Arabidopsis thaliana: one gene and its partners. The protein of the gene in region 3 purifies or fractionates together with the protein of the main gene of each other region. This does not show direct contact. Each region holds a gene or a part of one and is shown on either strand. Other genes may lie near its edges.

What was found.
Region 1: the proteins of AT1G60070 (region 3) and AT4G35410 fractionate together in Arabidopsis thaliana (co-fractionation; one large-scale study listed by BioGRID). This does not show direct contact.
Region 2: the proteins of AT1G60070 (region 3) and AT1G10730 fractionate together in Arabidopsis thaliana (co-fractionation; one large-scale study listed by BioGRID). This does not show direct contact.
Region 4: the proteins of AT1G60070 (region 3) and HAP13 fractionate together in Arabidopsis thaliana (co-fractionation; one large-scale study listed by BioGRID). This does not show direct contact.

What each region holds. Positions count from the first base shown.
Region 1 is NC_003075.7:16,828,745-16,834,502, reverse strand, and holds AT4G35410 (Clathrin adaptor complex small chain family protein), read right to left. Parts: upstream 2,165-5,758; 5' UTR 1,932-2,164; coding exon 1,929-1,931; intron 1,580-1,928; coding exon 1,493-1,579; intron 1,420-1,492; coding exon 1,219-1,419; coding exon of another isoform or gene 1,189-1,218; intron 1,111-1,188; coding exon 1,075-1,110; intron 964-1,074; coding exon 877-963; intron 782-876; coding exon 707-781; 3' UTR 501-706; downstream 1-500. Other genes in the region: DRL1 (dihydroflavonol 4-reductase-like1), read left to right, coding at 1-171, 265-412; AGF1 (AT-hook protein of GA feedback 1), read right to left, coding at 4,001-4,900. UniProt on the Arabidopsis thaliana protein: Subunit of clathrin-associated adaptor protein complex 1 that plays a role in protein sorting at the trans-Golgi network and early endosomes (TGN/EE).
Region 2 is NC_003070.9:3,562,452-3,569,488, reverse strand, and holds AT1G10730 (Clathrin adaptor complexes medium subunit family protein), read right to left. Parts: upstream 4,233-7,037; 5' UTR 4,027-4,232; coding exon 3,898-4,026; intron 3,758-3,897; coding exon 3,611-3,757; intron 3,505-3,610; coding exon 3,442-3,504; intron 3,332-3,441; coding exon 3,155-3,331; intron 3,081-3,154; coding exon 2,977-3,080; intron 2,885-2,976; coding exon 2,777-2,884; intron 2,653-2,776; coding exon 2,556-2,652; intron 2,462-2,555; coding exon 2,364-2,461; intron 2,264-2,363; coding exon 2,122-2,263; intron 2,047-2,121; coding exon 1,924-2,046; intron 1,809-1,923; coding exon 1,710-1,808; 3' UTR 1,383-1,709; downstream 1-1,382. Other genes in the region: AT1G10740 (alpha/beta-Hydrolases superfamily protein), read left to right, coding at 1-39, 223-660, 742-873, 942-1,146; AT1G10720 (BSD domain-containing protein), read right to left, coding at 5,043-5,528, 5,622-5,809, 5,910-6,525; AT1G10717 (EMBRYO SURROUNDING FACTOR-like protein), read right to left, coding at 6,935-7,037. UniProt on the Arabidopsis thaliana protein: Subunit of clathrin-associated adaptor protein complex 1 that plays a role in protein sorting at the trans-Golgi network and early endosomes (TGN/EE).
Region 3 is NC_003070.9:22,142,452-22,151,961, reverse strand, and holds AT1G60070 (Adaptor protein complex AP-1, gamma subunit), read left to right. Parts: upstream 1-2,434; 5' UTR 2,435-2,665; coding exon 2,666-2,697; intron 2,698-3,004; coding exon 3,005-3,307; intron 3,308-3,423; coding exon 3,424-3,565; intron 3,566-3,807; coding exon 3,808-3,981; intron 3,982-4,311; coding exon 4,312-4,491; intron 4,492-4,703; coding exon 4,704-4,858; intron 4,859-5,215; coding exon 5,216-5,306; intron 5,307-5,524; coding exon 5,525-5,688; intron 5,689-5,888; coding exon 5,889-5,943; intron 5,944-6,071; coding exon 6,072-6,194; intron 6,195-6,278; coding exon 6,279-6,374; intron 6,375-6,785; coding exon 6,786-6,913; intron 6,914-7,072; coding exon 7,073-7,177; intron 7,178-7,286; coding exon 7,287-7,543; intron 7,544-7,922; coding exon 7,923-8,135; intron 8,136-8,241; coding exon 8,242-8,417; intron 8,418-8,498; coding exon 8,499-8,606; intron 8,607-8,696; coding exon 8,697-8,795; intron 8,796-8,922; coding exon 8,923-9,018; 3' UTR 9,019-9,358; and 1 more. UniProt on the Arabidopsis thaliana protein: Subunit of clathrin-associated adaptor protein complex 1 that plays a role in protein sorting at the trans-Golgi network and early endosomes (TGN/EE).
Region 4 is NC_003070.9:22,367,712-22,375,367, forward strand, and holds HAP13 (Clathrin adaptor complexes medium subunit family protein), read right to left. Parts: upstream 4,513-7,656; 5' UTR 4,175-4,512; coding exon 4,046-4,174; intron 3,682-4,045; coding exon 3,535-3,681; intron 3,436-3,534; coding exon 3,373-3,435; intron 3,230-3,372; coding exon 3,053-3,229; intron 2,970-3,052; coding exon 2,866-2,969; intron 2,763-2,865; coding exon 2,655-2,762; intron 2,516-2,654; coding exon 2,419-2,515; intron 2,334-2,418; coding exon 2,236-2,333; intron 2,124-2,235; coding exon 1,982-2,123; intron 1,881-1,981; coding exon 1,758-1,880; intron 1,677-1,757; coding exon 1,578-1,676; 3' UTR 1,242-1,577; downstream 1-1,241. Other genes in the region: AT1G60770 (Tetratricopeptide repeat (TPR)-like superfamily protein), read right to left, coding at 1-495, 710-937; AT1G60783 (cyclin-dependent kinase inhibitor SMR2-like protein), read left to right, coding at 7,462-7,656. UniProt on the Arabidopsis thaliana protein: Subunit of clathrin-associated adaptor protein complex 1 that plays a role in protein sorting at the trans-Golgi network and early endosomes (TGN/EE).

The DNA of each region.
Region 1 (5,758 bases), on a different chromosome or scaffold from region 3:
GCATGGACAAATGGGGTATGTTCATATCGATGACGTTGCACGAACCCACATAGTCGTTTTCGAACACGAAGCAGCTCAAGGCAGATACATTTGTAGCTCTAACGTTATCAGTCTAGAGGAACTCGTTTCATTCCTATCTGCTCGTTACCCATCACTCCCTATCCCCAAGAGGTTTGACACTGACCCTTTAAACTAAACCATCTCTCAAACCTTGTAAAATTTTAAAATCATAGATCATGATGATACTCTGTTTGAAAATTTCAGGTTTGAGAAACTAAATAGGTTGCATTACGACTTTGACACCTCGAAGATACAGAGTCTCGGGCTCAAGTTCAAGTCCCTTGAAGAGATGTTCGATGACTGCATTGCCTCATTAGTCGAGCAAGGCTATTTATCTACTGTTCTTCCATAACTCTTGGACTAGAGAATATGTGCAAATAAGATTGGTCTGAAATAGTAGTCATGTGGATTCACAATGAAAGAATGGGATTGGAAAACATGAAATCAAAGATTACAAACGATATAATCTTTACTTGTTTATGAACCAAATCATAACATATTTCTTCTCTCCAAGTTACGCTTTAAGACGAAAATCCCTCCGCAAGAAAAATCAAATGGATAAAGATTTCTCAAAACAATTACTGTAGCCAGAGACAGGGAACATACTTTAACTGCATAAGAATGCATAGATGATGAATAAGACTACTTATCGATTAGTAGCCTGAGCGATTATATTACTTATCGAACTGGCCTCCTCTTTTGCAACCTCCACCAGTTGATCCTTTGACAACATAACAGACAGAGACTGTCATTTCTCAAGAAAAAACTACTACACTAATATTTTCATGTCGATGACTTAAACATACAACTCAGTACCTGAGCGGATATAATCCTGGCTACTGTTTTCTTGCTTGACTCTTGAAGCTCCCCAGCAATCAAGAGCTCATCCAATATGTAATATGCCTAAGAAAGCAACAAGAAATCCAGAAACTGTCAGCAAGATATAAAGATGCAGAGGATAGAGAATCAAGTGACGAATGGCAGAGTCCTTGAGTGTTTGCAGCATGCTATTACCTTGTGGAAGTTAAAAATCAAATCGAGTTCACACACCTGAAGGTCATCAGATAAAACAATTCCTTATCATAATTTAGAGGTTCCGTTAAGGTAAGAGATAGTAAAGGTGGAATCTCAGCAGGTGCTGGTTTTTTTGGTACTCACACTTCCAAAATAGCGATCGAGAATCTCAACATAGTGATGAATGATCTCAAGGACCTCTAACTCGTTATCCTCCTGATCAATGCACATGCAGAAGTAGAGACTTGCATATCTTTTGTAAACAACTTTGTATCCTCTCCATTCAACAAAATTGCAGAGCTTTGGACCTCGATTCAGAATCACTCCACTGAGTTCACGTATAACCTATATACATAGCATGTAAGATGAGAGATGTATGCTAAAGCATAACAAGGTGTGAATGAAGCTCAATACATACCTTAGATCTTTCCTTCTGTGCATAAGGAGAATACCATTTGGTGAGCCTTACCTTTCCTTGCCGGCTAACTAGAAGCACAAAATGTATCTGAAAACACACAAATCAAAAACACACCATTGGTTTCTTATTAGGATCATCAACTCACCAGCTTAAGAAAGAGTCCAACAAACAAAGGTTTCAAATTTGAAGCCATTGAACTGAACTAGGAGGATCGAAACTACGAAAAATCAAACCCAGAAGCTAGCATTATCAAACTAAAGTCACCAAATTTTCTATCTGCAAAGAATAATTTGAAGAGAAATATCTGAAACCACCGATCAAGAGCAGATCCAAGTATCAAACTAATGAAGAAGAAGCATAAGAACGAATCGGAGATGCGAAATTCAAATCCAGGGCAGCATTCGTAAACACAGAATCGAAGATCGAGCATTGTTACCATGATTTCGTAACTCAAGACGGGACAAATCTGTAGTAGCGAAATCCAGAAACTGATAATCGATGATCCTCAACAAGAAAAAAATTCTCTTTGCTCAAACTGTCAAACATGTCGAGTGCCAGGGGTATAATTGTCATTTACATAATTAAAAACGGATTGCATTCCGGGTCGGATCCATGCAAACGGATTGCATTCTCAGCTAATTTTGTTCCATTATTGCAATTATCTTCTTAATCTTATCGAATAGACCAGGGCATTACACATTAAACGTAGCAATTATGTCAAAAGATTTTGAATGAAAATAATTCTTCAATTAATCTTATAGAATTAGTTTCTTAGGTATCAAATTTTTTAATTGTTCTTATACTTGGTGCTGGGTCAAACAACAGAAAAGTATAAGCAATTTTTTTATAACTAAGAATGAAAATATAAAATGCAAATGTAAAGGTAAGTCCATAATCAAAATAGACATAAACAACAGTTTTGATAAGACCCAACAGAAATAACTCCTGACTAACGTGAGCAGCGACTAATGGACACAATTGTGAAGTTATGAACATACTTAATCTCTCACATAAGCTTGTTTTTATTTAACCTTGGAGGGAAGGCATATTCTCTTGCATGCAGGCTTTATTTTTATTTTCTTTGATTTTTGTTTTTCTCAAGTTTCAATGTGTTTTGAAGTTGACATCATCATAGATATTAGGGTTTTAGTTGTTCTCCCAAAATATTCTTTCCCTTCTCTGCGAGACAGTGGAAGTTCAGTTTTATCACAAATTAGAACATGTTTATATGACAATAATCGGAAGATTTAGTTAGAGCCTTAATGTGTGAACATCAATTTACGAATATAATTAAAGTCCATTTTCTCCGTATTACTCACCTAATAATTAGGGGGGAAATGTTATTTAATACCTGAACTTACAAAAAATGGCCAAATTAACCGTGAATTCGTGAAATGGCCGTTTTATCTCTCAACAAAAAGTTGACTTCTATTTTAACCTTTAAGTTTGCGTTGACTCGGTTTAATAAACCACCGTTAAAAATCCTTCTAACAGCGTAATTAACAGCCGTTACAGAACATCCGTTAAGGTGATACGATGACGTTTTGTGCTATCAACAGACTTCAAAGTCGACGAAACCTCTGAAAAATCTCCAAATCAAAACCCAAATCCTAAAAATCATTCTCTCTCAAATTCGATCTGCTTCTCCTTCCGGCGTTGTTTTAGCTGCATCTTGTGCTCCCTCTTCTCCGCCACAAGACTCAGATACCACATTCGTTTCACCCCCAACTTCTTCTCCAATTTCATCTCTTTCTCCTCGCGGTGGTGCTTCGACTCCATCTCCCACCAAATTCTCTGATTCGTGAAGCATTGGAGATCCAATCCTCATAACGACGCCATTCTTTCTAACTAATGGCATTTCAGAAAACGAATTGAAGCAATTAGGGTTTCGATTTTGATTTTGGGGGCAGGATTAGGTTTCGATTTGGGTTTAGGGTAATTGATTTTGTTTTGGGAATTTCTATTCTCGATTTTGATTTCTCTTTAGCACAAAACGTCATCGTATCACCTTAACGGATGTTCTGTAACGGCTGTTAATTACGCTGTTAGAAGAATTTTTAACGGTGGTTTATTAGCCCGAGTCAACGCAAACTTAAAAGTTAAAATAGAAGTCAACTTTTTGTTGAGAGATAAAACGGCCATTTCACGAGTTCACGGTTAATTTGGCCATTTTTTGTAAGTTTAGGTATTAAATAACATTTTTCCCTAATAATAACATTTTTCACGATTAATATGGTCGATTTGACATTTTTCTGTAAGTTTAGATATTAAATCACAAATTAATACTATTTTTTTTTTATGAAACTTACCAATTCTATTCATAAAAACAAACAGAAAAAGGAAATTTAAGCGTTCGTTTTCTTTTTTCACACACCAAGTTTTAAGAGAAACAAAAAATAAATAAATAAAACCTAATATTCGCATTTCGCAACCGCTATAGCTAGTAGCCTAGTAGTTTGAGGTCAAACACGCAAACGCAACAAAAGGTGTCACCAAAACGCTAAAACTCTAAAACGCGGGTCTAGTCGCACCGCCACCACCTCCTCCGCTACCGCCGCTCATACCGTAAATATCTCCCCCGGAGAATTGAAAATTGTTCATATTCATTCCAAGATTGTAGAAAGCAACACCTCCTCCACCATTTCCACCTTGGAGGTTTGACTCACACGCCTGGGCCCCACTCCCCGTAACCTCCGACGACTGAGACGCCTCCGGCTGCTGCTGCTGCACCCCGGTGGTTCTCGGCGGTGGGGTTTCTTCCTCTTCAATCGGTAACCTATCATAAACTGCGTTTGCAAAAGAAGCAGCCATCAACACTACCGGTCCCGAAGCAATTAACGAACCAGCCACATTCCCTCCTACAACTTGTCCTTGACCTCCGGCTAGATACACCGTCAAACCTCCTGCTCCCGGTGGTGCAGGCGGTGGAAGCGCAGTACCGGTCAAAGACAAAATGTCAAACCGACCATGCAGGGTAATCACACCTCCACCAGCCGGAGCCGCAGGTTGCCGTATCGTGACGTTAGTGACCGCACCCGTGCCGCTTATAATGCAAACGCCGCAGCCGCGACGAGTGGCGTAGGTGGAGACTGCCTCGGATATGTCCGAACCGGAGGTGACTTCAAGAACGTGTGATCTAAGGACGTTAGGACTATCTCTAGTTATAATCGTCGGAGGTTTGGGTTTGTTTTTGGAACCTGCAGGACGACCACGTGGACGACGTCCGGAGGAAGAGCCAGAGGCTGTGGCTGAGCTGGTGGCTCCACCGGTGGGAGTGGTCTCGGCCTTTGCTTCGTCTGCTTCAGATCTGTTAAGTTCCATGTTATTTTGATCAGGTGGGGTTCTGGAATCTTCAGGTCTCTGTAGATGCAGTTCTTGCCCTAGAAGAGGGTGCATATAACTAGACATTGATAACAAAAACAAGAAACTGTGGTTTGGGTTTTTGGATTTTTTTGGTTATAGCTAGTGAGAGACAAAGACAAAAGTCGACAGAAGTGGTTTGTCACTGAGAGTATTTCAGAGACTGAGTTTGATTATTAATAATGCTACGGACAAAACAAGAAGACGACAAGAGAGAACAAAACCTTACTGAATAATTAGAGAGAGAGAGGTCTACATATGTGAAAGAGCTGGGTCGGTGAAATTTGTCTGGACCCAGATCTAGATCTTCATGTGAAATGGAATGAAACAAAGGAGAGAAAGAAGTAAAGCAAGAGCATCACAAAACACAGCTCTCTTCTAAACTATAATAAGGTACATATAAATATAAATAATACAAATATATTTGTGTATCCATATAATAATATGTTGGGTTGGTGTAGTGACTTTTCCTCGAGTGAAGCAAAAAAACTAAATTAAGATGTTGACGACCTAAGAAGGGACTGATGGATTCTGCGGGAGACAAAAGAAGGATTCTGGAGAAGTAAATCACGGAGATAGAGAAGTTAAAGGAGAGGCCTTTTGTGACGGTGAAGGGATGGTTTTGTGATGGTGATATGATGATTGTAGATTTGTTTTGTTTTCTAATCTTAAAGCAAAAAAAGAAAACAAAGCGAATGTAAATTGTTATTCCAAAGTCAAGTTACGCTGTTTGATTTCAAGAACTATAACCGACCAAACTATCTGTTAGTGTTTTTTGTCGGTAAATAACATAACGATTGTCCTCTTTTTATTTATTTTTAAGTTCAAACTATTACATTTTAGTATTTTTACAAAATTAAGATCGGAAGTTTTAAAATACTAGCATTTGCTCTTACCATGAGTCTA
Region 2 (7,037 bases), about 19 Mb from region 3:
ATTCAATGGAACTACCAGGACCTACTTAGATGGCATGCGGTTAGTTTTCATTCTGACATTTTCAATTCTTTTCGGTATTTACATGGATCTTTACAATTGATTGGAATGTTCCTGTTTCTTCATTTTGAAATAAGGTTTGATCTTTGAAGCAATTGTATGTTCCTGTATTAGAAAACCAAGATCTTTTATCCTAATTGTTGATTCTTATTGTTGCTGTTACAGGACAGATGATGGAGTGAGCATGAAACCGATATGTTTGTTGCAGCTGTGTCGTATAGGCGTGATAATGTACGATTGGTTGGACATTTCATGGCTAAAGACTTATTACAATTTCGGGTTCGATCACTTCAACATTTCTTGGAAGAAGACCGGTGTGAGAGGTCTCGTTGATTGCCTAATGGGAAACGCAGGTCCTTTTGCTTCTGGCGATTGGATCTTACCTGATCTCACAATCCAAGGCTCAACAAGTATTAACTCCAATCTCCAGACGTTCCCAAACACTTACTACTTCAGCTACGCGACTAAACGCACCCGCAGAGTCATGGGTATGACAATCCCTTCAGGTGTTCTTGGAATCCACCCGATGCTCTTCCTCCGCGTCTTTCAGATGAGCCAATGGAAATTCCCACAAGATGTCTCTCCTCCTTATAAAGGCTACAGGTACTCAAAAACACTCAAAAATTTAACATTGATTTTTGAAGCCCTTGCTGCATTGGTCTAAGAAAACATGTTTGAATGAAGGGATGAGGACTGGCAAGAGAACGACGGGGCATTGAACACAATATCAATGACACATCCGAGGCTACCTGTTGAGCATCCGAGCCGGTTCATAAGGAGCGATTCGGAATGTCAAACATTACAACCCGGGATCTGGTAAGTGAATCATATATGACCTAATGACGTTGATGGATTGAGAAAATCTGAATACCTTGTTGTTGCAGGTATTATAAGATAGTGGAAGCAGATCACATAATGTTCATAGTGAACAGAGAGAGAGCTGGTGTTCAGTTTGATCTGATATACGACAGCATCTTCCAACGTTGCAGGAAACATGTTTTTAGAAAGATTCCTCAGACTCTCCCCAATCAATCTCCTTCTTCTCCTCGTTCATCATCATCACCCAGAATAAACAACTTTGTACATTGATCACATGCAAAAAAAAAATGTTTTAGGGTTGTTACGTTGAGGGCTTAAGTTTTTGTTTAGGCTATTTACTACTAATACAGATTATTCATTGTTCTTCTTGTTCTCCTCTCGATTTGTTGTACTGTAAAATATATATCTTCCATTTTGAAAATTATAATATTTGTTAGTTCGTCATGTTGCTCTACTGCCTCATCAAAGTTATTTATATAGTGAACTCTTACAAAATTAGCGGACGTTTAAGGAAAACCATTATTGGTGTAGTCACCCAGACTGCATGCATTTTCCATCGGTAAACGAACTGAAAGAACCCCAAATAAAACTCGATGTTTAACAATTGTAACCCAATATATATATAACTGTCGTATATAGTTTTACAGAAAAAAAAAAAAAAAAAAGAGAACGCCATGAAACAATTCACAAGAAAATGGCTTCTAAAACAACCTTCACCGCAAATTCTATCAGCTAATATATTTCAATCTTTTTCCTTTTCTCATTGATCTTCCTCTGCTTTGTGTCGTTGACAATGGCTTAAATAATAGTAAAAACAAAAAAACGATCTCATTTTACATGAGTCTCAGTTCGTACTCACCAGCCATGGTTATATATCTCACCCATGGATGTGCCTGGTACCCACTCTTCTCAATGATCTTCAGGTATCGAACCTGCAATACCCATAATTAACACACATCAGGTTTGTTTGCCTTCAGATTTCAATGCAGTAATATAAAAAGAATGTGATCTATATGATAATAACGTATCATTGTGAGTAATACCAACCTGTATTCCTGAAACTATGAATTTTGGGATCTCAAATTTGACACGGATTGGAGCTTTTCGCTCAGGCGTTGCTTCCTCTGCGGCTATACTTGGAAGATGGAAATCTGCTTTCAATGTATGCTCCTACATTGTTTCAAAACTTAATGTAAGCATTCGACTTTACATGGTCAAGTGTTACATTAAACTATAAGAACTTACCTTGTTCCCATAGAAATATTGTATCTTCCAGACCAGTGCATCTTTCTCAGGAGCATATGCGGCCGACCCGAGAGATGTTCTTACATCGGGGTTATACGCATCAGTTGGTACAGGTAACTCAATCTCAACACTTGTTGCATAGCTGCAGAAAAAAGGAACTCTTATCAAAACGCGTTAAAGGATTCCAGTATTTCAGTATTTCAGGTAATGGTTAAACGTGTTAAGTAACATTTGTTACTTACCTTCTGTCCTTGAATTGGCTTCTAGCTTTTACTAGCATCTCAACACGACTTCTGGAATGCCTCTCTATATGCGCTTCCACCCATATAAGAGGCTTTACCTGAACAAGTATTATGCGAAAATAAGATATATCATGATATAATTCGTTTAAGAAGGGGACAAAACCATTTCTGCAATATTACACATTCTAAAACCTGAGTACTGAGTCTATACGTCATAAGATCAAAAGATCCATCAGGTGGTATGAATGATATTGTCCTGTCGTTCTCAAAACGGGCTAATCGAACACACCTACATTTTGAAGAAAGAGACGTGTAAAAACTCAAGTATTCAATAATTTTTCGAGTTAGTAAAAAAATTGGCCTCGATAGAGTGACTGTCAAAGAATGTTTAAAGTTGCAAGAGATTAACGTACTGATGAAATTTGATGTCCTCCAAATCAATGGCTTTTCCTTTTATTGCTCGTCCCTGTGCCTCCAACAATATTCTGTCATTCAAGCCTAGCTTACACTCTGGCATTCCACTGTAATAACATGGATAAAGAAGCAGAGAGTCAAAGAGGAGGGACTTTTGATTTTAAATGCGTTGGTTAACTAGGGACACTAGAGAACGCACCTCAAGTATGTTCGCATCTTCAAAGCTCCAACGACATCAGACCTGACAATTTGCCCATTACTGTTCACAAGGATATTTACACTCTCTATCACATCCAAGAAAACCTGGAAAACAAAACATCAGTCTGCAAACATTAGAAAACCTAAAACAATTGAAAAGTAAAATGTTGAGCACCTACTTCGTTTTTCTTAAACTTTAACCCCTCACTCCTCCATGAGACAGAATTAGTGACAGCCATTGGAGGTCTCTGTGTAACTTCCATTCTATATGCATCAGTCTTGATGAATTCACTAAGGATTCTTGCCTCAGTAAACTGAGGGTAACCAAAGTCCATCATCTCGTCAAGTAACTCATACTGCCAGTAACATAAGTAAATGTTTTTAGAAATAACTTTCGCCCACACATATCCACCTCATGCAAGAGGGAAAACAGTTATAAGAAGAGATGTGAGAAGCATTATCTTACCACTACCACAAAGTTATCTCTCAAAGATTCTTCCTCTAACTCCTCGAAGTAATGCTTGAAGACCTACGATCAGTATAAGACTGTAACATATGAAACAGTGCCGTTCTTTTTTCTTCAAATTCAGAAAACAGATGGAAATGCAAAAAACTGAATCACTAGGGATGCTTACATCGACTACACGATGCAAGAAGAAGAGAAGACTGGCAGCATTACAGTTCTGTCTGGACGCTATCATGAGGTAAATGTTACTATGCTGTACAAACATGTAGGTCACGCCATTATCATAAGCAACCGGATCATTTGACTGTGAATCACCCTGAACATATTAGACGAAAGTAAGCAAACCCGCAGAGAAAACACTAGTCATTTAGTCATAAGTATAACGATTCTGATCAAATTGAATCCTTTTAAGCACTGATCAAGCTTGTTCATTAGTTCCAAATGTTAAAACTTCACCTCTGTCTCGATGAGTTTGGTGAAGAAACGCTCAGCTTGAGCAGCGGTGACATCGCCACGGTAATCGCGCCACACGAGAACACGACCTTTGATATCGAGCAGAAACAGCGCTGAGGCCGCCCCTGCCATGTTCTTCTTCTTCTTCCCTCCTTGTTTTCTCAAGGATTTGCCGAATCAGATCGATCAAACAGACGGATTATTAATTCCAGAGAGATCTGAAGAATTTTACGCTTCGCCGGAGCTAAACGATCATTTGCTGCAGCTGAGTGGTGGTTCGTCGATAAAGTCACTTATTCACGACCTGACGAATTGGTTCTGACATAAAAAACGACGGGAGACTCGAGAAAGAAAGAAAAGTGCAGCTTATTAAATTGGGTTCAGCTTTGCATTATTCTGCGAAACGACATCGTATTACCAATCTTACTTGGTTTTTCTTTCTTTCTCTGTATTAGGGAAGCAATCTTACTTACGAAGATTTTAGATTAATTTTTATAAATCTTAAACTAATAATACCAAATTAAAAAAAAAAAATGAAAATTTGAATTGAATAACATCAGATTCTATATAATATTTTTAAATCACTAAAACTCTATATAAATCACAAACCAATAACACCCCTTAATTATTAACAAAGTACTAGCATTTTGACAAATGTTATACATTTCAACATAGATTTGTTTTTTAGTTAAGTCATAGGAGTTATTTTGTTAATTGATGATAGCTCCTCCTGGTTGTTCCCATTTTCATACATACAAATCCTCAACATAAGCAATAAAATCCCATATGATTTTCCAATCCAATAATGATTCTAACAGTTTGTTACACTTGAATTCACTTGCGCCATTCTCTATCAATTTCTTTTAAGTTCCACGCGAATGAAATAGTGCTTTTCAATATTTCATTACATTTGGCGAGAGAGAACATTACAATGAAATTGCAGTGTCAAAGTAAATCTTCTGTACATGTTTCAATCAAAACCTTTTTCTTTCTTTCTTCCTTCTCTTTGAGAGCAAACATCATAAATCCACAAAACAATCAAACTCACCCAAAAGACTTCCACGATTTGACTCAGCACACAGTACTTATGTTCAATTCTATTGATTCGATCTCGTGAGGCAGGGCAAAGCAACAAGCCAGATGATGTTTCATGTTCCTTTTTGGTCTGTGCCCTTTGATGTAATCTTAGACTTGAGTGCTAAGCTACTTATATCGTCGTCTCCTTCAAGATCACTGAAAGAAACATCATCCTCATTCACTGTAAACATTGGAGCCCAAGAATTAGCAGAATCTTCTTCTTCTGGCCAATCATCATCATCATCATCAACAACATCTTTAGATGTTTGGCTAAGGCTTGCACTATTTTTGTCGTTCTTCTGGATTGGTTTTTCCTCAATAACAGCTTTATCGATGAACTGAGCGTTTTCAAACCCGTGTTCAAAATCGCGATACATAATCGAAGGAGGTTCAAAAGCATATATTCTTGGAGAAAGAAACTCAGGAGGAGCATGGTTGTAGTAATTAGAAGTTGATGGTGTAATATCTTCTTCCTCAAGAATCATATCTCTACTTTCTTTTGAAGAATGTGTCTGATTCTGAAGCTCTTTCATCCACAATGCTCTAGCTTCCATCACCTGCAAAAGCAAAAGGATTTTGTTGAATAAACAACAGCAACAACAAAGAATCATTTTGACTCAAGAAGAGATTGAGATTCAGGTTTTTTTAACCTGTGGAGAAGACAAAAGATGAGCATCGTGTTTATTGAGCCTTGAAAGAAGAAGAACAAAATAGACTTTCCAGAAGTAACCAACACTCATATGACATGGACAAAGCTCTATTCTCAATGCAGCTAACCTCGGAGCAAGACGCTCAATAGCTAAAGCATGACCTCTTTGAGCATCACTCATTTCCAAATCTACATTAGATAAAAGTTGAAATAATCAAACTTTTGATATGCCTATAAGTCAAATCAATGAAGACTAATAGCGAAAGACTTGACTCAATGTATACGTTACCATCAAGATCTTCGTCAGGATCAAGAGGAAAATCCAACCAAGTTTCTGGATGCATTGCTATGTTCCTCGCAAATGCTAGCACTTCGTCTGTAAGAGCAACCGCAGCGATCTCTTCTTCTTCTTCTTCTTCTTCATCTGTTTCCTCTTCTTCTTCTTCCTCATCCTCCGGATCATTGCCTTCTGCCAATTTTTCTTCTAAATCCCAGCTCCTAAACCTAATTCCAGTCTCCGGCGTATCACTTCCAACACACGATTCGTCCCGATCTGAAGAACGCGATTGATTCAATCCAGGATCTGAAGACCGAGATTGGTTAAACCTGGGATGGTTCGATAGATCGGAGGAAGAAGAAGAAGATCCATCAGGTAACGGAGCGAGAAAGTTAGCCACACCACGAAATTGACGCGTGAGGGTATGACCAAGTTCCGTCAAATCATCTTTAACCCCACGCGCTTGAGCCTCCTCTTCCGGTGACAAACGAACGGCGTTTCTCGAGAAATCGTGTCTTTCCGTTGAGGCTTTCGGGGTTTTCTCGTCGTTGTTGTTGTCTTCGTCGTCGTCGGCGGCGTCATCGTCTCCGATTCCATCGTATAAGCTTTCCAAAAAATTCGAAAACATTATGATTGATTTCTTTTTTCTTTTCTTTTTCTCAATTAATCTATTGATCCATTTGGTTGACTCAAAAACTAAAACTATGCAAATTATTTTATCTTTTCCTAACAAACCCCATCCAAATTAAATATCATATACTTGTAATTTAGTTTTAAATTCCATATTTTTTGGTGGCAACTGTAATTGGATTATCTAACACCTATAAAATATATATTTTTATTTAGAAATGTAATTGGTTGATATTCAGTGAATTTAAATTATAGAAAATAAGAATATCGTAACATTAATGTAAAGGAATCCACTAAAATCGAAATAAATGTCATAAAAAACCTTAAATCGAATATGCAACATACATATTTAGATTTATCAACGTTTTTTAAAAAAATCTGCTTCGAAATGACAGAATCCATAAAAATTATTCAAGAGGGGGACAATTGGCGAAACAAAGCTCCTTAGCGTTGGGAAATTCTTTTTCTTTCCAACAACGAGCTTGTTTAGTTTTAAGTCGCAAGCAGCAC
Region 3 (9,510 bases):
TTTTTGGATCATAATATAAGACATAAATTGCTTCAGATGTTGTTGCAGCTGTATAAATAAACTCACCAGTGGATCATGAGTAATACCTCTCAGCCCCCAAGAAACTTTCCAGATCGGGTCACGTTGAGGAAATTTTCTAAGTGACCGTTCTTGTTTCTCTTCATCCTCCAAAACCCAAAATCATTTACCAGAGACGTCGTCAGAGCAAACCCATGCAAATTTTCCTTCGTAGTTGAGGAAAAATTTGCAAAGTAAATTATCAGCCGCTGATTTTCTTATTGTGTTGAACTTTTCGTACCTCACATCGAAGCTCATAAGGACTTTCTCAACTTCAGAACTATCATCGACTCCAAAAGGTATACTCGCTTCATAATACACTTCCCCGTTGATACATATACTTTGTATTAGTCCCTCGGCGGATAGAGGGACATGTTTAGGGGTATTTTGTGTCACTCTCCATGATTCTTGAGGTCCCAAAGTAAAAACAAGAGGATCTTGGTATCTAGAGCATGAGATGCACAAGACTTTATACTTACCCTCGACCGGATCATATCCTAAAGAGCTACATTCAAATGCGACTTTTGGTAAGGTAACATGTTGTCTCATGATTGGATTCCAAACTACAATATGCCCCAAGAATCTCCCAAACATATCAAGCCATGGACCGACTGGGACCATTCGTGATAATCAAATATGAGAGTGTCTTTCAGATAACGCTCCACATGTGGATAACATGATCTGTCCGGATTTTCATGTTGGGGCATTGCGCAGAAAATACGCTTGTCACTTGTTTTCACGCAGACCAAAAGACACAACCTAGTTGAAGACTGACTCGCGAACGACCTGATGAAATCTGGATGAGTGGTGATTGATGACCATAGCTAAGAGACCCAGTGGAACCTCGCAGCAGATTTAGCAGGAAGTCTCAAGAGTATATCAGGAATTAGATCAAGAGGAATCATCTCGAGAAACTTACAAAAACTCTCATCTTCTTTAGATTGTATACTTACTTCCCTATCTTCCGCCTCTTCCTCTACTCTATCCATTGGCGTCGATCCACTAGTTTTTTTTTTTAACCCTAATTTTTCAACCCTAAGTTTTTCAAACCATTATAGTAGTTGTCATCTCTGGACAAAAGGAACAAGTCAATGCATCGATCACCGAAAAGGAAGCATCGTACAAAGAGAAGAAAACTGAAGATTAAGAACATCTCTTTCTCTTTAACTTGCATACATCATGTTCAAGAACTACATCTTAGCAAATCCAACGACCGAAGACGAATTGATCATGGACACTCTAGCTAGTGACCATTGTTTTAAAAACCATACTCAAAATGTATTAAAAAAACAAATAAAAGAATTTTACATTTGGTTGTATTTGACAAAACATATCAACACTTTAGATTCTTGCGGTAAGTCAGAATTCTTACCAGAAGAATCTAAAACTTTGGTTCACTGATTCATGAGAACTTTGATCCGAACAATATTTACCTAGAAAACTGATCTCACCCTCATCAATACTGATCTTGATGAAAGTGAATCTTACAAAAACAAAAAAATAATGATAGATTTGCACTTAATTACTGATAAGTAGACTAAAAGAAGAACGATGAAATTATAGCAAATCAGCAACATGACCATCACGGAACTAGTTAATACTAAAAAGCATCAAAGTTGGATTTCTAAGTGATCTAACAAACGCTTTTTTAAAGATTAAATTCGAGATGAAAATATGGATGAAAAAGAATTAAATTGCTAACATAAATTGACCAAAATCGTAAGCATTGATCATCACCCATATCTTCATCTCAAATGAATCCATATAATCAACACTCTAACGTAACCAGAAAACTTGTTATACTTATTTTTGGGTAAAAGATTATAAAATTTAGATTTCCAAGCAATCTACGAGCAAATTTTTAACGGATTAAATTTGAGATGGCCATATGGGTAACCAATATATAAATTGGTAACTTAAATTGACCAAAATCTTAAATATTAGTTACCCAAACAGCCATCTGAAATGAATCCATGCATATGATCAACTCTCTAATGTAACAAGACAAGTTTATCCACTCTAACGATAGATAGCTCCACAACGTCATCAACATAATTAACGAAAGATAGACGTCGATATCTATCTACTGTGAAACCAAACATGAGTATTATGAATCAAAAAGATCCATTAATGTTAATTCATACTCATGTTTGACTTCACAACAGAGAGATTTCGACATCTACCTTTATCCATCGGCGACTCACTTTTGTTTTTCTAAACCCTAATTTTCTGTCTGGGTCTCTCTGTCTTTGACGTATTTATAGTACAAAAAAAATTGTTGCCCAAGAAAAAAAAAAAAAAGAAAAACAAACCTTCTGAATCCGACAGAGGCTTTAATCTGTTACCGTTAAAGTGTTGTATGATTCCGTTAGAATCTGCAACTCCGTTAATATTTTTTCCGTTTTCTTTCAGGGAAGAGAAAAAAAAAACACAGACCTCTCTTTTCTCTCTTCATGTTTTCATCGATAGTGGAAGAGATCAAGTGAAAGAAAAACACTCAGATCTGGAAATTCAGCTTCTTAGATCTATGAATTTTCAAATTCGTTGATCCATTTTTCCGCTTCAATCGTCTCCGATCTGATTTCATCAGCTTCGTACCGCTCCGGTCATGAATCCATTCTCTTCCGGCACGCGTCTCAGGTTAGGAATCACTTTACTCCGATCTCCAACTAGTAATCTGCTTTTTCTCTATTGCGACTTTGCGATACTTCCATTTTCGTGCGTTTTCTAGTGTCTAAATCCATAATGTAGCTTGATTCTTCTAGTAATCGGCAAATTCAATCGGAAATTGACGATTATCAGAAAAATGTTTTGGCTGATTGTGTGAGATTAGGCATGTTGTATGATAGAATCCTCTTAGCATTTTTGATGAAGCTTCGATTCTTTATAAATTGAGAGTATGTAAATGTAAATGAATTCATCATTTTAATGACAATTTGTGTTGCAGCGACATGATTCGAGCTATACGTGCGAGTAAAACCGCTGCTGAGGAACGTGCTGTTGTGAGGAAAGAATGTGCTGCGATCCGTGCTTCGATTAATGAAAATGACCAGGACTATAGACATCGGGATCTAGCGAAGCTTATGTTCATTCATATGCTTGGTTACCCTACTCATTTTGGGCAAATGGAATGCTTGAAGTTAATTGCTTCTCCTGGATTTCCTGAGAAGAGGATTGGTTATCTTGGATTAATGTTGCTTCTTGATGAAAGGCAAGAAGTATTAATGCTTGTCACCAACTCGCTGAAGCAGTATCCTTTATGGTGTTAATTTTTGATTTTGATTCCCTAGTAGTGTTTTAACTTTTTGCTGGCATCTTCGCACAAATTTTTAAGTTCATCTTGTGAGAACCTTGACTTACGTCTAGAGATCTGAATCACACGAACCAGTACATTGTGGGGCTTGCTCTCTGTGCTTTAGGAAATATTTGTTCAGCAGAAATGGCTCGTGATCTCGCCCCTGAAGTTGAACGATTACTTCAGTTTCGTGATCCAAATATACGCAAGAAAGTGAGTGTTTTCTTGTACTGTCATTGTACCCGTTCAGATAACAGGTGTCTTTGTTGTGAGGGTCAGTGGTGGAAATGTTGGAAAACCTTAGATGCTAGGTTAACGTGCATGTATTAACCACGTGAAGGCTTTAATTTACGAGCTATGTATCATTTTCACGAATTTACACTTTACTTCTGTCATTTTTTTGTATGCATAGACTAATACATTATAGTGAACTAGTTTTTTTTTTCTTTATTTAGGCAGCTCTTTGCGCGATAAGGATCATCAGAAAAGTTCCGGATCTTTCTGAGAACTTTATTAATCCTGGTGCTGCTTTACTCAAAGAAAAGCATCATGGTGTTCTCATTACGGGAGTTCACCTTTGCACAGAAATCTGTAAAGTCAGTTCCGAAGCCCTTGAATATTTCCGGAAGGTAATCTGCTGATATCCTATCTATGTGGTTAAACGAATATTAGGATGCCTTATATGTTCTAGTTTGCGTTCTTCTTCTTTCTTGGAGAATCGGAAAGTACTCTACATTTGTTCATTAGGCTTCTCTTTGTAACTCATAGCCTCTTACTGTCTCATGGTTTCATGATTCTTGTCTGGAATCTGTATGATCCCTGCATTCTCCATTTTGTCTCTTTAGATTCATTATCTTCCTGGATAATATTTGCCTGTATTCTAAACTGATTTGAGTGTTTTCAATCTTTGATGTTCTTGCCATGATGGAAAATGAGCGGTTTCCTTATCTAATTGACAGAAATGCACAGAGGGCTTGGTTAAAACCCTGAGAGATATTGCAAACAGTCCATATTCACCTGAGTATGACGTCGCTGGAATTACGGATCCATTCCTTCACATCAGATTGCTCAAACTGTTGCGTGTTTTGGGCCAAGGGGATGCAGATGCCAGTGACTGTATGAATGATATACTTGCTCAGGTTTGTTCGTACGTAGTCTGTCGAGCTTTTTTTTCAAGCCTTTTTCTCTTTTCAAACAATGGTAAAAAATGAAGCCTTTTTCTCATCTTTATAGGTTTTGTTTCAAAGATCATTTGTGAAATTTGCTTTGAAAACGCTTTTGATCTACATCAGTCAGGATCGTAATTGCAGATAATCATTTTTGATTCCTAAGTTGATTTTTAATGTATTAGGTGGCATCAAAAACCGAGTCAAACAAAAATGCAGGGAATGCTATCCTATACGAATGCGTTCAAACGATAATGAGCATCGAAGAAAATGGTGGCCTACGAGTCCTTGCAATCAATATCTTAGGAAAATTCTTGTCCAACCGAGATAATAACATCAGGTTTTTATCGAGTACCACCATATTTGAGTTTTTTTTTGTAACTAATCTCTGAGATCTTATTATTCATCTACAATAATCTTCCAAATTTAGTTTGCTATAATGCTGACAGAAGTTGTTACACTCATATATGTCTAGTTTGCAGTGATTCTGTTTTTTTTTCTATTATTCCACTTGAAGGAGCAGCTGTTTATAAAGATAAAATAAACCAAAACTGACGTGTTTGGACAGTATTGTGTATGGATGGAACTATTGTATGAGATTTTGTGAAAAATTGATAGAACACTTCATCTGATCTCTTTCTTGTCTCTCCACTGACCACCTTCCAGAAAATAATAAACCTTAGCTTTGCTTTCTCAGATACGTAGCATTAAACATGCTGATGAGATCCTTAACTGTTGATTCCCAAGCGGTTCAAAGACACAGAGCTACAATCCTGGAGTGTGTTAAGGTATTTTATGTGGTGTTACTTCTTTGTTGGGATATCCTATTGATTTACTAGGCGATTTAGATTCCACTGGATTTACTGGTTATGGAATGCAATTTATGTATCAGAGCTGTAACATGCTTCCGACTTTGTGTCTTAGTATAGTAAACCATCTAATTCTGTGTAGGTCGACTGAGATCATTCTTTATTAAATGGAAAGTGTTTAATATCTTGTGCTTTAGGATTCAGATGCTTCAATTCAGAAAAGGGCACTTGAGCTTATTTACCTTCTAGTGAATGAGAATAACGTGAAGCCACTAGCAAAGGAGCTTATAGAATATTTGGAAGTAAGCGAACAAGATTTTAAAGGAGATCTTACTGCAAAGATATGCTCCATAGTTGAAAAGTAAGTTGCGCAACTCTTCAGCCAGCATGTACAGAGATTTCATTCTTCTAGTATATGGTAACTGAACATTTTAATTTGTATCAAAGTTGTGCGTTAAGCTCAATTAATAGTAATCCCTTAAGTTTATCAGAATGCTGGCCTGGATAAATGGTGTCCATCAGACCTAATTGGTTACTGAATTAGTATTTCCTTTCTGCTAGGTTTGCTCCAGAGAAAATCTGGTACATTGATCAAATGCTAAAGGTTCTATCTGAGGTATATTTTGAACCCAGGTTGTGAGATTACGTTTTTCCGTACACTTAACTAACAACAAACTTTTTACTTCATATGAATTTATGTAGGTTCTAATCTGAGAGTTCTAATCTTGATTATGTCCATAACAGGCTGGAACTTATGTGAAAGAGGATGTATGGCACGCGCTGATTGTTGTAATAACAAATGCCCCTGATCTCCATGGGTACACTGTCAGGGCTTTGTATAGAGCATTACATACATCTTTTGAACAGGTAGACATTTCTTTGGTTAGACATTTCCTAAATTTGAATATCTTGTAACTTAGGAGTAAGAGGGTCATTATCATGTTTGGGCAGGAAACTCTTGTGCGCGTTGCAATATGGTGCATAGGAGAATATGCTGATCTGTTGGTTAACAATGCTGGAATGCTTGACTTAGAAGATCCAATAACGGTAAGTACTATCATCCTGCACTCAGGGTTTATTGTTGTGACTGGTACTGGAGGTGCAATTTGGGGATCTCTTTCTTAATTTGCTTTTTTTGGTCTTGTAAAATATTTCTGCTTCACTGATTTATGTGGGGATCCTCACACCCTAGAAATGTTAACTCGTCATCTTGTGGATTTTCTGCGCTGGCTAGTTTTCTGTTTGATAAAAAATGAAGAAAATGGTATCAGTTGTTATTTTCTGTGTCTTAAGGGGATGTATTTTCCTTACTATTTGATTGCTCATTCAAATAGATTCATTAATGAACATTCTGCCTGCAACATTTTGAATGATCCTCTTTACATGCCAAAGGTATATTTTTCAATGAGATATTAGGAGGATAGATATTTATTTGTGTTCTCAAGCTTCTGTAATCAGGTAACAGAATCAGATGCAGTGGATGTTGTCGAGAATGCTATTAAGCATCATTTATCAGATGTCACAACTAAGGCAATGGCACTCATTGCTCTGTTAAAGATCTCATCTCGTTTCCCATCCTGTTCAGAGTATGCCAACTCCTACCTAGCTAGTTGATTCTAGATTTTCTGGTTATAATCACGCATGAACTCATTTCACGTCCCTGATTTTTTCTTATTAATTATGCCGCGATGAAAATTAGTCAATGATACTTCTCACCAGTGTTGGGCTTGTTGTATTGCTTACAGGAGAGTTAAAAGTATTATAGGACAGAACAAAGGTAGCTTTGTCTTAGAACTTCAACAAAGATCCCTGGAGTTCAGTTCAGTTATTCAAAAGCATCAGAATATAAGGTAATTCTTTCGATGCTACTGGACATATCTGTTTTCATCAATTTGAATGAGAGAGTCCTATAGATATTGATCTACTAAATTACTCAACACGATTGATATAAATATGCAGATCTTCTCTGGTTGAAAGAATGCCGGTCCTTGATGAGGCAACATTTAGTGGAAGGAGAGCTGGTTCTTTACCAGCATCTGTGTCAACTTCTGGAAAATCTCCGCTTGGTATTCCAAACGGTGTTGCTAAAGCAGCAGCTCCTCTTGTTGATTTACTCGATCTGGGCTCTGATGATACTCCTGCGCCTACCTCCTCCAGTAACAACTTTCTTCAAGATCTTCTTGGTGTTGATTTATCGCAGCCTTCAGCACAACCTGGTTAGACTTCCAAGCTTACACTATTCCACTTCATTAGCTCAAAGAAAAAACTAACTTATTGAAGTTTTTCTTGTATTGCAACTGATAATATTAATTGTTAACCATCTGTATAGCACTATCTTCCTGGAATAGAAGTTAGATTATAATTCATATACGTTTTCTTCAGCCAGATAATTTTCTCTGGTCATGTCCTCAACTTATTGGCTTCAGCTGCAGTATGGCCTGTCCTAACTATAACCCGAAGAAAACTGTAAAAATTTTAGTGAAGATAAGTGTAGTGTTAAGTTTTGTAGAGAGTTTGGGATGTTCAGTTGTGAAGTTTCATCATATATTCTAAATCGTCGACCCCTTTGTTTACCCCTGCATTTTTCAATTTCAGGTGCCATGCAGCCATCGCAAGCTGGTGCGGATATTCTTATGGATCTGTTGTCAATCGGAACTCCTGCCCCTGTGCAAAATGGCTCGGCGAATGGAGACTTATTATCTATTCAAGATAACAATGCTCCAATAGCGCCTTCTTTGACTTCTCCCACTGCGCCTTCTTCGATGATGGATTTATTGGATGGATTTGGTCCCACCCCACCAAAGAGCGGTAAAGATGCGCTATATTAAACATTGAAAAGTTACATAGCACAGTTTCTCCCCTCTTTCTTCTTGTTTTCAAATGTGATGATATCATCTCTTTTCTTCCATGACAGAGGACAAGAGTGCAGCATATCCGTCCATTGTTGCATTTGAAAGCAGCTCCTTGAAGATTGAGTTCAACTTCACAAAGCAATCAGAAAATCCTCAAACGACAGACATTGTGGCCAATTTCATAAATCTTACTCCTAACGTGTACACAGAATTTCTTTTCCAGGCTGCAGTTCCAAAGGTCAGGTCCCAAATTTGCTTTTTCTGCTTACGTTATAGGCCTTATGATTCATAGCTAATAAGAACACAATCTTTCCTAAAGAACAATTCTGCCATGTGCTTGGTTCTTAACGTTCCACATTTTTATGGTCGTGATAGTGATAGATTCATGTTTTTTGCAAAGTTCTTATTAGTGGAAATACTTGGAACTGTTTTGGAGTAAATTGGGTTCGGTTTAGGTTTCCATGATATGTTTTGTTGACGATGTTCTAATATATTCATGTTATCACACACATTGCAGTTTCTACAACTTCACCTGGATCCCGCTAGCAGCAATTCTCTTCCAGCTAACGGAAACATCAAACAAACTATGAGAGTTACAAATAGCCAAAAGGGGAAGGTACATTTTCTTCTTTTTCTTTCTTCTCTTCACCAGATTTATATAACAACAAGCACAAAACCTCAATCTTTTGTGAAACCGATACCACAAAGCGCTCAGAATAATCGCTGTTCTTCTCTGTTTTCAGAAACCCATTGTGATGCGGATGAGGGTAGGTTACAAGATTAATGGCAAAGATGTGTTGGAGGAAGGACAAATCAACAATTTCCCACGTGGGTTATGAGAACGTTTCAGGTATTCCAAGATTCATATACATATTCCTAATTTATATAATCACTTCCCATAGACTAAAACAAACTTCTTCATAGAACCTTTGTATGTGTGATTCGTTGGCTTTGTGTGAAATCTGGGTTTAAAGTGAGATAACTTTTTGATGGTCTGAGTTACTTATGAGAATGTGTGACGTCAAATGTATTCTTCTTGCTGCTTCAAGTTCTTCTCTATCATTTATATCATTAATAAAACGTTTTTGTTTTTTCCATAGTAACATTTTGAGAAAACAATTTATTATTAGTTTAGAAAATAACTTATTTTGTCTTTTGTAATAACGAAGATTTTCATCAACTCCGAATTCAGTATAATAATTAGAAATTAGACGGACAATTTTTTTTAATTTTAAACAAAAATTGTGTATGACAAATTAGGCCTATCGATATTGTTTATGCACTATTCAAACCGTTCAAATTGTGTTTACATGCAGTCCAAAATGCTGAAT
Region 4 (7,656 bases), 220 kb from region 3:
ATCAACATATATCGATGCCATATTGCTATACGTAGTCCAATCCGGAGCAACTCTACCATCTCTATTCATCTCTTCAATGACTCTCTCAACACCAGAAATATCATTAGTAGCAGCCAAAGCCCTCATCCAGACATTATAAGTGTACGAATCCGGCATCACATTCTCCGCCTTCAATTCTTGAATCATCGCCGGAACTTTCTCAGTCTCACCTGTCTTGGTGTAAAGAGTCATGAGGCTGTTATAAGACATGGAACTAGGAGTAATGTTGAGCTCTTTCATCTTATTCAGCAAACCTTCCGCTTTCTCTGTCAACAACTCCTTGCAGTAACAGTTCAAAAGAGACCCATACGTGAGTTCCGTCTTAGATGTTTCCGGAAGATCAACAAAATAATTCTCCCCAGCAGTAATTTCACGAGCTTTAGCAACAAGATCAAGATGGATTGCTTGATCACTCACTGTCTTGTTCATACCTCTCTCTTCCATAACTTCAGATAGCTACAAACCAAAAAAACAACTCCACAATATGAAATCTAAAGACACAATCATCACACAGTGAAAAAATTATTCAACAATTACTAAATTGTTCATAATGAGCATCAAAATACCACTTAAGAATCTACATTTCTATATGTATTCAACAGATTTGAAGCAAATGCTTATTGTGAAGCTAATCCTAGAGAATCGAAAATGCAATTTGGATTTATGAAACCTTGAGAGCTGGGTAATAGAGGCCGCGATTTCGGAGTTTCTTGATCGTATCGCCGACCTCCCATTTGAAGACGTGTTTAGTGCCTTTGAGGAACTGATTAAGCTGCTGTCGAACTTTGACCTCTGTACCACCATCTTTGAAGAGGCGATTGTACAGAGGTTCTTCGATGTACTTCTTTGTCGATCTCTTTGTAACGTCTCTCGATCGGCTCAAATGTCGCATCGCCATTTTCTCGTCGGAGCAGTAAACAACGACAACGAGAAGGTTTTTTGAGTAAAACCCTAATTCACTGTCACTTCCCAAGCTCGAAACAGAATTGGAGGAGAAAGTATGGTGATTATGGGCTTTTTAATGGGCCTGACGATTATTTCATTTCGGCCCATACTATATCAGTTAAACAATATGAGAAACACCAAAATATACGTTCTCTCTATTGTAAGGCTCTCTCACCTCACTCTATTGAAGCATAATTTGTTTATGTAGTTTCATTTTGATCATAACTCGAGAGAAACCTATGTAAACATAGACGAATGCCCCAAAAAACAAAACCAAAACCTCAACGTTTAACAATTTTGATCGCAGAACGAACACATAGACAGAAATGTAGCAGTCTAAAGGAAAATAATGAACCATGTCGTGAAAGGTTACAGAGAGCCTCATGTAAAATAAAATAGAATCACCATAAAGACAAATTCACAAGAATATGGCTTCTAAAACAAATTAAAGGAAAATTTGATCAGCTAAAATGTTTCAAAACGTTTTCTTTTCCCTCTACTTTTGTCCTGTTTCGTTTTGCTTCTTTGATTCAGGCAATTCCTTGAGGGATGTGGGAATCACAATTGACATAGACGATGAAACTAAATGTGCATTACACGAGTCTTAGTTCGTACTCACCAGCCATGGTTATGTATCTCACCCATGGAAGTGCTTGGTACCCACTCTTCTCAATAATCTTTAGGTACCGAACCTACACACCAAAGAACATATATATTATATATATGACATTGTGGAAGAGACAGTAACCATTTATTATTAAGCACAAGCTTACCTGAATCCCTGAAACAGTGAAATAAGGGATCTCAAATTTGACACGGATAGGAGCCTTTCGCTCAGGAGTTGCTTCCTCTGCAGTGATACTTGGAAGATGGAACTCTGCCCTTAACATGTACTCCTATATTGGTTTTCTGAAGGTTAGCATTGATACTACATAGTCTACATTGCTGACTGTTTCAACTGAATTTAAGAGTTTATTGAACCTTGTTAGTGTTATACCTTGTTCCCCGGGAAAGATTTGATTTTCCAGACTAACGCATCTTTTTCAGGAGCATAAGAGGCAGACCCTAGAGATGTCCTAACGGTGGGGTTAGATGCATCGGTTGGTACAGGCAACTCAATCTCAACGTTCGTTGCGGTGCTACAAAAAGAATGTTCGTGATCAAAGGTTTAAAGAATCTGATCAATCAGGATCTTTGCATGACAGTAAGACAGAAAAGGAAAGTGGCACAAATACCATAGAATATATTTACCTTCGTTCCTTGAACTGACTTCTAGCTTTTATGAGCATCTCAACACGACTTCTTGAATGACTTTCTATTTGTGCTTCCACCCATATAAGTGGCTTTACCTGAACATAAAAGAAACAAATCATGATATTTACTTGTTGAAGACGTGGAACAATTCCAGTAGATGCTATATCCCACATGTCAAACCTGAGTGCTGAGTCTATATGTCATCAGATCAAAAGCCCCATCAGGTGGTATGAAAGATATCGTCCTATCGTTTTCAAAACGGGCCAATCGAACACACCTGCATTAAATAAATGGTTGTTGAAGAAGAGAATACATAAAACTCAAGTATATAATCTTTTTGAACAAAAAGAAAATAGAAGGGTTAAGATCAGTGAAGACTTTCCAAGTTTCAATATAATAAAAACTTAAAGACGTACTGATGAAATTTGATGTCCTCCAAATCAATGGCTTTTCCCTTAGTTGCTCGTCCCTGCGCTTCCAGCAATACTCTATCATTCAGTCCTAACTTACACTCTGGCATTCCACTGCAATAGAATGGATCAAAGAGCAAAATAGTCAAAAAGGGACGTGATTTAACATGCTTTGGCTGATTAGGAACTATATCGTAAATTTGATGTGTTGACATACGTCAAGTAAGTTCGCATCTTCAGCGCTCCAACAACATCAGACCTGACAATTTGCCCATTACTGTTGACAAGAATATTTACATTCTCAATAACATCCAAGAAAACCTGGAAAAAGAAGCAGGTTGTCATTATTTGCAAACCGAAACATCAGAAACATATTCCTATCTTGCGAAAACAATGGCACTCACTTCATTCTTCTTGTACTGTATTCCCTCACTCCTCCAGGAGACAGCATTCGTCACAGCCATTGGAGGTCTCTGTGTAACTTCCATTCTATATGCATCAGTCTTGATGAATTCACTGAGAATTCTTGCTTCGGTATACTGAGGGTAACCAAAGTCCATCATCTCGTCAAGTAGCTCATACTGCCAGCACCAAAAAATCAATTTCAGCATCTAACAATGACAAATACTTTTCCAAAATTTTAAGGATCTTTTTGATTGCCCAAGTAATAGAAAAATATATTGCGAAATAGTACTAAAAGAGCGATGACAGAAGCTTAACATACCACTACCACAAAGTTATCCCTCAATGATTCCTCTTCTAACTCCTCGAAGTAATGCTTGAAAACCTATAACCAGATAACAGATACCATTGCCATTACATCAAATATCCAGGAAAAAGATGGAACCTTAAGAGAAAAACTAAAGAATTGACCAGCCATACTTACATCGACAACGCGGTGAAGAAAGAAGAGAAGACTGGCAGCATTACAATTCTGCCTGGATGCTATCATCAAGTATACATTACTATGTTGTACAAACATATAAGTCACCCCATTATCGTAAGCAACTGGATCATTTGACTGTGAATCACCCTGAACAATTAAACAAAACGATGATTACTCTGATTTAAACCAGAATGCTTCAAAAGTACAGATTCAAATCAAATTCTAATCCAAAACATTTAACCAATGATCAAACTTGTTCATTACTTCCAAAAAATTTCAGCGGCATCAGATCACAAAGACTGATACGAATCCATTATCTTCAAAATTCATTTCCAGTGCAGATGAAAATGGACACGAATCCATTATCTTCGAAATGTTTCAATTCCAATTGACGAATCTTTCAAACACAAATCTACAAGTTCGTTCGCTAACTCTATGTTTCTCTGAAAATTCTACAGTAACCAAGCAATAAACAAAGACCAATTAGCGATAAGAGGAAGATCAGAACAACCTCTTTCTCGATGAGCTTAGTGAAGAATCGCTCGGCTTGAGCAGCGGAGACATCGCCACGATAATCACGCCAGACGAGAACGCGTCCCTTGATATCAAGCAGAAACAGCGCGGAGGCAGCTCCTGCCATGTTCTTCCCTAAGAGTTTCGATCAGATCCAAATGGGGATGATTAATCAGCGAGATCTGATGAAATTATGGTTCTATAGAGGAAGAAGTAGCAACAACATCTAGATGGAGATTGACGCAGATCTGCAGCTCAGATTCTCCATTTCGCAATTTTTTTTTTTTTTCTGGCGATCTGATGATTTCGTTATCGATCCTTGTGGTTGGATTAAAAAAAAAAACGGAAGAATTTAAGAAAATAATAATATTCAGAAGCAAAGAGCTCTGCCTTTCACCCAGACGGTATCGTTTTACTTTTTCCGTCAAATTTAATACCATCGAAAGTAGAAGGAGAGTCAATGAAGAAAGTCATCATTGAAGAAGAAAGGCCCATTGGATCATTACATAAAGTCAGGCCCATATAGGTTGGGTTTCGTAGGTTAAAATTATTAGGTTAACGACGAATTAGTATAAAAATAGGTTTGTAATGAATCAAGGATAGAAGTAAAACCTAAAATCGAACATATGCGTTTTTCACAAAAACTTTAGGGGAATCTAGGGTTTGTGTAGTGTCACCACCATGAAATCGTGAGGACTATCAAGTATAAACTAGAAAACTGTCATGGGGTATGATCGAATGTTTGTGTACTCATTTTTCGTGGATATGAAGATATGCAACATTTGATCATTCTCCATGATAGTATTCTAGTTCGATATATAAAATTTCAATAGAACACTGCAACATGAAGTGTTTTGTATACTTAGCTTGATTGCTAGCATATTTACGTATATTACCTCCTATGTGTTGATGTTCACACGACAACACAATTTCACTGGTACCAATCATTCCAACAAATTATAACTCGGTCTCAGGGATTGTATATTTTGTTGGATTGATTGGTAACATGAAATTTTGAATTTTTGAATTTTTGATGTTACCGGTGTGAGTGTATACTTTGTTGGATTGATTAGTACGATTGCATACTTTGTTGGATTGATTGGTACACAATAAAAGCGTTTGAAAGTAATAGATTTTAAACCTTTCTAAACCATGTAGTGAACTTGAAGCTTATTCAAGCAGTTTATTACTTTCAAACTTGATATTTTGTTACATAGCTAGTTTGGCTCTTAAGTTCTCATCATAAAGATTATGGGATCTTAATGAAGACGTAATAGCCCTTATCTTTTCACATGTTTTGAGTATTTGTCAATTATATATGCGTCCTCTTGTTCTGTGACTATCTTAGTCTTTTATAAATACTATATATATATGCGTCCTCTTGTTCTGTGATTCATAGGACAATGGTAATGCAAGACTCGGAACTTAACTAATATTGTGATCGCCTTATTGATCTTCTCCCTATACCGCTATACGTAGTGAAATTAATAGTTTGTAATGTAGAATGCTAATAAGATAGAAGTGTACTTTTTGGCAAGACACTAATTATAATGACTAATTTATCAAACATAAGAGGAAAAAATCAGAGATATGTTACTTCATAGTTTACAAATGAATCATGGGCAATAAGTCTTGAACTTAACTAATATAGTGTTAGTTACGTTAAGTGATGATGAACTTGTCTTGAAGTACATCATAGTCAACATACGTATTAGAGATAGTTACATTTGGTTTACATTATTGGTTAACTTTATTGGTTTACATTATTGGTTAACTTTAACTAATAATGTAAACCAAATGTAACCATCTCTAATAATACGTACAATTCTATTTATTTTGTACGCTCAAGAAAGACCAGATCAATTAACCGCAATACAAAGATCCGATTGACTATCGCAAAAATGCATATATGACGGGAACACTACATATAGTAGAGACACAAATTCATTATGTGGATATAGACATTATGTTAAAAATTGGAGTCTTTAATCAAACACTAATAATATCGTTTACAAATTTCTAGAGAGTACAAAAAAAAAAAATCTTCTTTATCATATTTTCGCAGTATTAATCTTTGGTATATTTAGATGCAACTTCTACGGTAAGAATTCGTCAACCATTGAAGCAAAGAAGAAGAATGAGATTAAAGAAAAATGGGGTTAAAGTCAAACGTATAATATGGTCAACAAATAGAGACGACATTGACCAAAAAGATTCAAAACTTTGAAACTAGACTCTCATCTCGTTACTTCATTCATTACTTGCACTGAAAAAAATAGTATATAAAAAAGGGTTAGAATATAAAAATTAATCAAAAGTAATAAGTGCAAAATAAATTCATATATCTTAGAGTCACGCGTTTCCTCGGGTTCCCTATTGTTCATTAAAAACCTATTTGAGTCTTTTGAATATTCACTCACTCTAACACACATTCTTCATTTCTTCAATGATCACACACACATTCTTGAGTTTTCCCTCAATTAATTTTAGTAAAATTTGTTTCTAGTTTCTAGAATCCTTGGCTTTAGACTGGTTGTAACATTACAGATATAAAATGTATGAAATGTTTCGATATGAAATGTTATCAATCCGTATTTATAATACATAATTGGTATTTAAGTTACTTCGGGGTCTATACTACTATATATGATAGAGATTAATTATGAAAAAAATGAAGATGGTTCCAGAATTTATGTGCATGAAGGTTTTATTTGCAGTGTCCAAACAAAATACTTGTAGAGAAACCATATTTTAATCACCTAACTTCGACCAATATAAAACGGATTATCGTAATCATTAGTTAGGGCACTTTTTAGTTGACTACGATCGATATCTTTTGCACCACCCTTTAAAAACTATAGCACCTTTCAGTTTGTATGACTAAAACAAAAACTATTGGCATCACCACTAAATTATGTATCAAAAAATAACTTAAGAACGTATATCAAAATAAGTTGTTCCATTTAGGGTACATAATACTGTATTTCTTTCACATTAAACATATGCTTTAAATACCATGATTACATTCTTTATGCTTGAGAAAAGAAACAAAAAAGGATATTCTCTCACATTTAATAAAAGATACAATGTACACTCAATGTCACTATCTCTTCGTTACGTTCTTTTAATGTAACCAAGGAAATAAATACTAAGATACGAATTTTCGAAAAAAAAAATTCGTGGAAAAAATAACTGAACTGAATCGACATCGAACGATCGATTGTCTTGAAGTCACTGTTGACTATAAGACCAATCCCCTTCTCTGAATCACATGTTTCATTCTCTTCACATTCTCTCTCGTTCCAAACAAGTCTTACTTTAACAACAACCTAATCTTTTACTCTTTCATTCTCCATTTCCTTCATTTACATCAAAAAAAATTCTTGTTTCTCTCTTAACTTCATACGATAACTTATGGGATTTTCCGGCAAGACTTACCACCAGTTTGACAGAAAATTTAGCGAAACTACCGAAGGGAAGAAATGCGTCATCACCGGAATCTCCTTACATTCTACGGTGAAGCCGATTAGCCTCTCTTCCTCTGCCGTATCCAACACGGAAGACGAAGATCTCTGTCCAACGACTCCAACAGCGGATTCCGTTAGAATA